Linked DNA regions of Saccharomyces cerevisiae S288C. Changing the gene in region 2 together with the main gene of any one other region gives a genetic interaction. Each region holds a gene or a part of one and is shown on either strand. Other genes may lie near its edges.

Region 1 (4,171 bases), on a different chromosome or scaffold from region 2:
AATTTAGATATGTCCAGAGCTCGATATCGAAGCGACTTAACAAATAATTAATACTGACAGTTGGTAAACGGGCCTGTTCCCTTCACTCCCGTATGTTAACATTGTAACTTCATATCGCAGGGGCAGAGCTTTATAAACCTGAATTGTCCGGCCAGAATAGTAGTCGCTGTCCACGAAAGCAAGACACTATGAAGTTGCCGTTTGGTCTCAATGATACACATAGTGTTAAGAACATTGAGTAATTTGGAGTCAGATTGATTTCATTCCTTTACAATCGTGATGTGCCTATTTAATTCAAGGTCATGTGGATTTCAAAATTTAACATAATGATTTTACCTACCTTTCACACATTTGAACATGGGAACGCTTAAATATTAATTACTGTGCTTCACTACAATTACAAGAGAGTACGTATTGACGTTATTACCAGTTTACTTTCCATCATACTTATCGCAGAAAACAAAATATCTAAAAAAAGTATAGTAAACGGTTGATGTCATCAAGAAGCATACCTTACTCCTTATATAGAAAGCTAAGAGACACCTAGAAACATTGATTTGCCAAAAATCCACATTCCTCGAAATGGGGCCTAAAATGTGCGCTAATGCGCTAATAAAGGTGATATAAAGTTCAAATCTTGAGTATACATATGACATACAACCATAAGGCCTGATTATTGTCTATTTACTGCAATTTTCATCTTCAGTTCCAATCCACGGTATAATGAAATGTAATGCATCCTATCTTATTTTTGAATGTATTATGTTAATCGTCACGTTTTGGTAATGATTTCTAGATGCGACTATAGCATTTTTGGCAAATCAAGCGTTTATTTTGACTTTTCTAAATTTGGCTTTAAAATCCCTAAATTTCACAGTTACGACATCCTTAAAGTGGATATCTGTTAAAATAGTTGACCCAAGTACTTCACTCTCCCCAGGCATTTTGTTGATGTTGTTACTGCTCGCATTGTATTTCATTATACATTTTCTCTTGTCCTTTGTTCGCTGATTCCTTTCTCCATGAGGTGATATGTTGAGTTTAATCTTAAGGTATTCTCTCACTAGACCGTGCGCTTCCTCTTTATGGCAATTTTTGCATGATTTACTATTTTTATTATTACTATTATCATTTTTACTGGCGGAAGATGCTATTTTGGTCCTAGGTCTAACTACCTGATTTTTTGTATGTCTCTCCGAGTGCTTACCAGGTTCTTCGACCTGATTTTCGTCCATAACCATCTGATCTTTACAATATTTTTTCTCAAATGTCTGAGCCTTCTCCAATCCTAGCATTTGTTGCTCCTTTCTCCAAACTCTAGCACATCTTTCACTCATGTAAATTGGATCAATATCTTTCATAGTGGTATTCCAAGATATGTTGTTTTGGTCATTATCTTGGGGTTCAGGTTGAAAGTACGCGTTTTCCATCGGTGTTCCTGCATTATCTTCACTTTCGCTTCTAGACTTTTGAGCTATTCCGTCGTTCGCAATTTTAGGTCTGTCGTTATTTTTCTCTTCATTGTCATCCTTTACTTTATCCACTTCTGTTACATAGCCTATTACCACAGCAGCGCAGTTATTAAAAGTATTGACAACCCTATTAGCGAGAGGTGTTTTTATGATATTTTTCAATCCTGATGACGCTTCAACTTCAATACTATCCATTTTTTTTCTCTCTATCATAATGTTCTCCTGTTCCTCACCTTGCATCCTCACCTTGGCTTCTTCTTCTCTCCGTTTTTTCCTTTCCTCGTGTTCCTTGTAAGGTCTCATGTCAACATAGAATTTTTCTGGTTCTAAAGTCCAAATAAGATTAGGAAGGTCTTTATCTTTAAGCTCTTTGATACTCAAGTTTTTTTTGTTCAAGTTCTGCGGATCACACGCTGCTGTAGCGTTGAATCTGTAAACTCTGACGTTGGAAATTTTGGTAAGTTGGGAAAAATTTGAGATAGTAGTGATTTTATTGCTTTTCATTAATGGTTGTGGAATGTAAATATCACCGAGGTATTTCTTCTTTTTATATCGTCTTTCGACAAAACCTTCTGAATAAACAACCTTGTGAAGGATGCTCCAATCATCTTCCTTTACCGGGGCCATATCAAGAATCACCTTTTTTACCTTTTCAACTATATAATATTGATGATAATAGGTCCATTGTTTATGAATAAATATAAAGGCCCTGTTCAATGGATGCAACGGATCCAGTTCATCTAGGCAATCCTCTACCGGACAATCGAATTCCACAACTAAAACAGCAGGGCTACGCCTGACTAAGGGCCCAATTTCCATAATCTGTCTTAAAGAAATAACCATAGTATAAAATCTGTGAATCATATTTTTAGATTCTCTGAAATCTTCCACATTCAAGTTCTCGAATATCATAAATTCCCTCCCCAGATCCTTAAGCATTTGAAGCCGATCTTTCAAACTTCGACAGCCTTCAAATTGTTGCAATAGAAGAACATACTTTCCAAAGGAAGAGTTGATTTCAGTAAGAGCCTCATATCCAGAATAGTCCAGAAACATAGCTAAAAAAAAATCTCGTCAATTTTTTTTTTAACTATTCGAGACCTTACCGAGTAATCACTTTAAAACAAAAAATAAATAAATTTATGGACTATTTTCAGTGACTGATATGCCAAATTCCTTTGCCCTGTATGGCCATATTTTCTTACCATTTCTGTGGTGACAAAGGTGATGCAATTACTGACACAACAAGGTAAAAAAGAGAGGCGGGTAACAAATTACACACGTCCATCATCCGCTAAGCGCTTTAAGCTTATAGAGAGGCAAGTAACGTCATTGATCCTGGATGACAAACGTCTTTTACTCTTTTTTTGGGTCCTTCTCATGGTTTCAGTGTCTGACGAAAACAAAGAAATATCATACATTTCAATAGAGATCGAAATACATATCCGCACAGCATCCAATATAACCAATACATTTCTTTTTATCAACTACTTGATATGATTCCGTTTACTATAAGGCCAGGCAAATCAAAATACGCTCAAGATCTCTTATCAGTTTCCGGAGGTAATTTTCTTGCATTTCCATCTTCACGCAATCGTCCGGGCACATAATACAATATATGCTATACATCAAACACGGAGCGTGGAACATGTTCCAGCTCAAAAACAGTTAGCAAGTCTATTTTCGTACGTTCCGTAACCATTCTTATGACAATAGCATACAACAAAGTTTTCATAATATTTTGTAAGATTCATATACTTCTTACAGAAAAAAGAGAAATAAATATTGCAAAAAACTAACAACAGAAGAAACTACTTGCAAAATAGTGATTCATCAAATGGCTTCTTATAGTACGTAGTCGGCAAAGAACCAATGCATCATAGCAGTGGACAAGCAGAATTGAATCACTTTAGACGTGTAGCAGACTCATTGAACCAATAAAATTCTAAGACGGATTTCTGTGCGGAATCGGAATTAAGGGTTGTCAAAAAAGTGAAAAATAATCTGAAATTAAAAACTGTTCTTATTCTCGAGGAAGCTATTCACAGTAAAGGAACACAAAAGGCATAAGAACGCATTGAAAAGTCTAAAAAACTAATATTCGTATGATGCTAAGAACTACTGCCTCACGAAAAATTGTGCTAAGGAGGGGTCTAGCCAGCATAAACACAGGGACTACCGTTGCATCAAAAAAGGCTTCGCACAAATTTCGCAATACCCTTTGGACTATTGCTTTGTCAGCGACAGCTTTCTACGCTGGAGGTATCATATATTCGCAAAAAAATGACAAATTTGGTGACTTTTTCTCTAATAACGTTCCTTTTGCCGAGGATTTACTAGAAACATATGAACACTATCACGATAGGCCAACATTGTTTTTAGAAGATTCTTGGGACGGCTTGAAGGCAAAGAGCAATGATTTATTATCTGGATTAACTGGTAGTTCACAAACGCGCAGATCTAATAGGGAAAATATTGAAGTAAAAAAAATCTTATCATTAGAACCACTAAATATTGAAACAGAAAATTCTGATCCGCAACTGAAAGAAATCATTGGCTCTTTGAATGATCTCATCAACAGTCTAAATGACTCAAACCTCTCCATCCCCGAATCAGAATTCAATTCAATCAAAAAATCTAACCAGAATATGCTTACGAATCTATCCCAATTAAATGAAACGTTAAAAGAGGCTTTATCC
Region 2 (5,154 bases):
CAGAAACTGTAAGTTTCCCCTCATTTTCCTTTTTTTCTTCTCCTTCCCCTCAGATTTCGAGGTTTGTCGTTCTTATTAGAGTTCTTTGCTTTTTTCTTTGCCTATTTCAATAAAATCTTACCAGTATGCTATGGAAATGGACATTATTTTATTATTATACAACATAGTATATTCTGACTAAAATGGAATTAGAAATTGTAACATTAGTATGTACTTATAATCATTTGTATCATTGTATTACTCGCCTTTTGATGTAAATTTTGTTTATATCTCAGAACATCTCCAACAGCAGATCAGAAGTTACATTGTTCTTGTAAGTGCTTAAGAAGTCTGTTAGCAAATTGAAATCTTTCAGAAGAATATTCCACCAAAATTTCGGAAAAGCAATACCAGCGGTAAAATATCTGCCATGCTCTATATTATGTGACTTTATTTTAGGTGCACCCCCCACCAGTAACTTATTCTCTAAATAATAATTAATGACACCATTGAATATATTAGTTCTAAATAAAAAAAAAAAAGCTAAGAAAAGAAATATTTAAACAACGCTTGCAAATCATACTCAAGAGGATGCTTTACTTCAGCAATATCATGATTGTTCAAAAACTCATTCATTGCGACCTTTCTTCTACTTTTGAAATCTAACTGTTTACCAAAAACCTTAAGGTTCAAATCATTAGCAAATTTTGTGAGAAGTGTAAGCTCACATCTAAGTTGAATGACAATTGTTGGTACAATTTTTAAGAAGGTTTTTAATGGGATATCCAACACAATTAATAAATTTTTGATTAGATTTTGCGATTGCACATAGGTAAGGTCTGTCAGAATATCAAGACCCAAGGAGTCGTACTTTTCCTTCGTTATATGTGGAAAAGATTTTCCAACAGTTTCAAAATTAAGTTCGGTAGAAGGATCACCATATAGTTTTTTTAAATTCAGCTTCTCTTGGAATACATCTTCTTTTAGTGATAGAATTGTTTCTTCGAGTTTTAATATTTCACTTTGTTTTCCAGCTAACTCGTCAGTAATTTTCTTATGTGTGTTTTCTGACTCTTGAATTTGAGTGCTCCATCTTGAAGCAATCAAAGCCTGATTCTGAAGTTTCTCAACAATTTCCTGGTGTTCATTCATGTAATCGTTCAATTTATCTTCGGCATTTTTCTGAATTTTTTCACTTAGTATTAATTTTTCTTTTAACTCGCTCTTCAGTTTTTGAAAGTTTTCTTCCTTGAGGTTCAGGATATCATGCCATCTCCTTTTTTCCAAACGAAATTGTTGTTCTTTTGTTAACGCCTCTTTTTGAAGATATTTTATTTTGTGACTGTGCTGCTGTTGCATAAAATGTAATCTTTCATTAATCAATTTAAAGACAGAAATGATTTTTTCAAGACGTATACGGTCATTCTTTTCCAAAAGTTCTATCTTTCCTTTTAATTGTTTGTATTGCTCCATATTTTCAAGATTTTTGATATCTTGAAAATCCGGATAAAGCTTGGCAAAACCGTTTTGAAACATCGAAGGGGAATGGCCACATTTCATTTCTTCTAGTATGAATTTACCAAGGTCTTTCTCAAAAAGAGAAAGATTTTGCATATAGCTGTAAACATCATTTAACCTTTTCTCGTAAAACGAACCATTATCATGTAATTTTTTATTTTCATCTTGAGAAAGTTGCAAATTGCTTTTCAGTATTTCAACTTCAGATCTTAATTTTACTATAGAGTTATTCGATTCGTTAATATCTTTTAGAAATTTATCATTTTCTTGCTGCAAGTTTAGGATTTGTTTTTGCTTCCTGTATAGTTCCGAAACTAAAATATTTCTTTGAGAAAAAGCTTTACATTTAGTTTTGGCACTAGTCACTTCATTCTTCTCCTTCTTGCTAGCGTTTTTGTTTTGAAAGTCTGTAATTTTTTCTTCTCTAATTTTTTTAATTTCTTTGCGAAACCGGTCCTGAACAATGTTGAGCCTTTTTGATGCAGCTTTTCTTTCGTTGTGGAATTCCTTCTGCAAGTCTTCTATTCTTTGAAGTTTAGCATCATTCATGCTATTAAGTTCTTCTAGTTCTTGAATCCTGTCATCCTTCTCTTCTAGTTTTTGTCTTAGTGCTTTGATCTCTTCATTTTGGGACTGGAGCTCATCTAATACCTTGGGTAAACTATTTTCTTTAGAAATACTTCCTCCATATGATGAAGAAGATAGCCTAATTTCTCCTAATTTCATATATTCGGACTGTTCTTCATCTGGAGTTTTAGATGAGCGAAATACGTTCTCTAGATGCGCAACCTCTATATTCTCCTCCAGACTCTCATTGCTTACAACATAATGCTCATCATTTGAGATTGCTGCGACTTTGTGGGGATTCGTGAGGAGCTTTGTAGGTGTAGAAGAAAATCTATTCACTTCAATACTATTGTGTACTTTGTATGTGGTAAATTTACCAGGGCTTACATTTCCTAATGTACTGGGCTTTCCTGCAGGTGACAGAGCCTGCGAGCCTATTCCTACAGTTGGTAAACCACCCCTTTGTAGAAATTTATTAGGCGATTTTAAAGTATTTTTTTCCGTAGCATTTTCCAATGTACTAATGTTACCAGAAGGTGAAGAGGCTTCTGAACCTGCCCAACTCTCTGAGCGGTTTCTTCGGGAACGCCTATTCGACAGTTTTGATATAATATCAGAAGAAATACTTTCCTGCACATTAGATTTTTCAGTGGACGTAGGTACTTCAGAGTCTATCCAAGTTTGTGAACGCCGCTCTCGAAAAGGTTTACTTTCTGGAGACTTAGTTAAAGTGCCATCAGTAACATGTCTCATCTCCCCCTGCTGGTCGCAATCCGAGTTTTGTTCCTTTAGGGATTCAGGCTTATTCAAAAATGCTAACCAATGATTCATATTCGGAGAAGTTTGTTGTATTCAACTATCCCATTCAAAATCCCAAACCGAGTTTTGCAATTCTTTCACTGGCAAATCTCTTTGTGTTCCTAATCTTAATATTGTACAATGGGCGGCTAAAGCGCGATACGCAAAAGAAATTTGTACATATACTCAAATTACTCATTAATACTTGGAACAAGATATAGTAGCCCTCTAAACATATACAACTAAATCTGGTAGACTTGCTGGCCGGCTACCCAAACTTTAGTGGTGTTGCGATCATCACCGTTAAAGAACCATTTTGCGATTATGTCTTCATTAGTAAGCAGCGGTGGGTTCTTATAAGGGTCTTGCCCTTGCTCTTGCTCTTGCTCTTGCATTTGATCCTTCTCCTTTAGCTGCCAATGAAACATATCCACGTTTGAGCCGGGAGCATTGGTATCGATCATTTGAGCGTCAAACTGCTTACCGACGTCAAAAGTCCCCAAGGTCTCATCCATACGCAAGACTTGTGCTCCGCCCATTGTAGCAAGAAATAGGCACTCGGAGACTGAAAGTTTTGCATGATCAGTTTCTCTCATTGCCAAATGCCTTGAAACTGCAAAGGCCTGCCTTCCGGTGGTGAGTATGCTACAAGAATGACCGGCTGAAACGTCGGTGCCTAGACCAACCTTTATGCCCTGGTCCAGCAACCATCGAACCCTACACTCTCCAGAAGTCAGAGAGGAGTTGGAAATGGGACAATGAGATATACCACAGCGACGCTGTTTAATCACACGCGCTTCGGCATCTGTTAGATGAATACAATGTGCCAATACTGTTTTTTCTGTGAGCAGCCCATATTTGTCGTATACATCAGTATAGCTCTCACATTCGGGAAATAAATCTTGAACCCACTGTATCTCCTCCTTATTTTCCGACAAGTGGGTTTGAACGTGTATGTTTTCATCCTTGACTAGCTTGGACAACTGTTGCATTAGTTCTCTAGAACAAGAGGGCGCGAACCTTGGTGTCACTATAGGATTTACGAGGGGATCACAAATGGTTTCCCGTATGTACTTAACAACTTTCACAGTGCTTTCAAAGGAAGTTTTAGTATCTTCAATATAATACTCGGGACCATTGGTATCCATGCACACTTTTCCAACAAGAACACGCTGCCCCAATAAGGAGCTTAGTTGAGCCAAGAGCTTAGTGGACTTGAGATCAATGGTATTATAGTAAGCCACAGTCGTTGTACCGTGAGAAAGCGTCTTACTTATTACCTTATTGTAAACTTCTCTCGCAATATTTTCGTTTGCTAGTGCGGCTTCTATGGGGAAGGTATACTTCTCTAGCCAATCCAGCAGGGTAGAATTCCCAAATACGCCGACATTTGGATATTGCGAGACATGGTTATGCGTGTCAACAAAACCTGGAAAATAAAAGCTGTTATTTCGAGTCTTGTCTTTTCCAATTATGTCAACCACCGTGACATCCTCTGGTGATAAGCTACTATCGTGATCTAAACAATCTTTGACAGGATCGAGTGAATTTCTGTTCACAAACCTGATGATTCCGTTGAGAACTCCAACAGATGTTTTCTCTCTGATTCTCAGCTCTCCTAATTTAGGGGTATCTACAAAGGTACCAAAAAAAACTAGAAACTTTCCATGTTTGTCGTTGAATTTATCAAATAATAAATCACTTTTTGTCATATCCTCTTCAAAGGACAGCCCAATTCATATATTCATTCAATAAAATGTTGTTCTTTTGCCAATGGCCTGTTTTAAAATCCTTATCTTGTCTCCTTTTATAATCCGAAACTATCCAAACTTCCGAGTGATAAATCGCCGGATAGGCATAAAATATGACTCGAGATAAGACCAACAAAGATAAGTACCTCGGTTTAGTTAAGCGATGTTAGGACTGAAAGGGTGTCTAACTATTCTTATTGGATACGTTATTGCTGTCTGTGCTTTGTTTTCCAGTAGGGGAAGAAATCCTTCATTAACTGATTGGGAAAAGTTAAAGGACCAGAAAATATCGAATATTGATAACTTTGGGTTGACCGGTCAACATCTTTTAGAATTTTTCCAGGAAAACTTGCCATTTCTAAGTTTTTCAGAGGAAAAGTATCGTCACAAACACGTTTCTTTATATTATGATGTATTCAAAGAATATATCTTACGTCGTGCCAGTTCAAAAAAGTGTTTACCAGTAGACTCTGCTATCGCAAAGTTGAACAAAGATGTTAACCCAATGCCAGTTCACTCCCATAATGACTACTGGAGGAAA

What was found.
Region 1: of ADY3 (region 2) and YKR015C, changing one enhances a phenotype caused by changing the other (phenotypic enhancement), as found in Saccharomyces cerevisiae (one study listed by BioGRID).

What each region holds. Positions count from the first base shown.
Region 1 is NC_001143.9:466,140-470,310, forward strand, and holds YKR015C (uncharacterized protein), read right to left. Parts: upstream 2,529-4,171; coding exon 822-2,528; downstream 1-821. Other genes in the region: MIC60 (Mic60p), read left to right, coding at 3,578-4,171.
Region 2 is NC_001136.10:25,881-31,034, forward strand, and holds ADY3 (Ady3p), read right to left. Parts: upstream 2,896-5,154; coding exon 523-2,895; downstream 1-522. Other genes in the region: GUD1 (guanine deaminase), read right to left, coding at 3,105-4,574; AIM6 (Aim6p), read left to right, coding at 4,777-5,154. UniProt on the Saccharomyces cerevisiae protein: Involved in the pathway that organizes the prospore membrane (PSM) during sporulation. Mediates the assembly of the DON1 ring structure at the leading edge of PSM during meiosis II.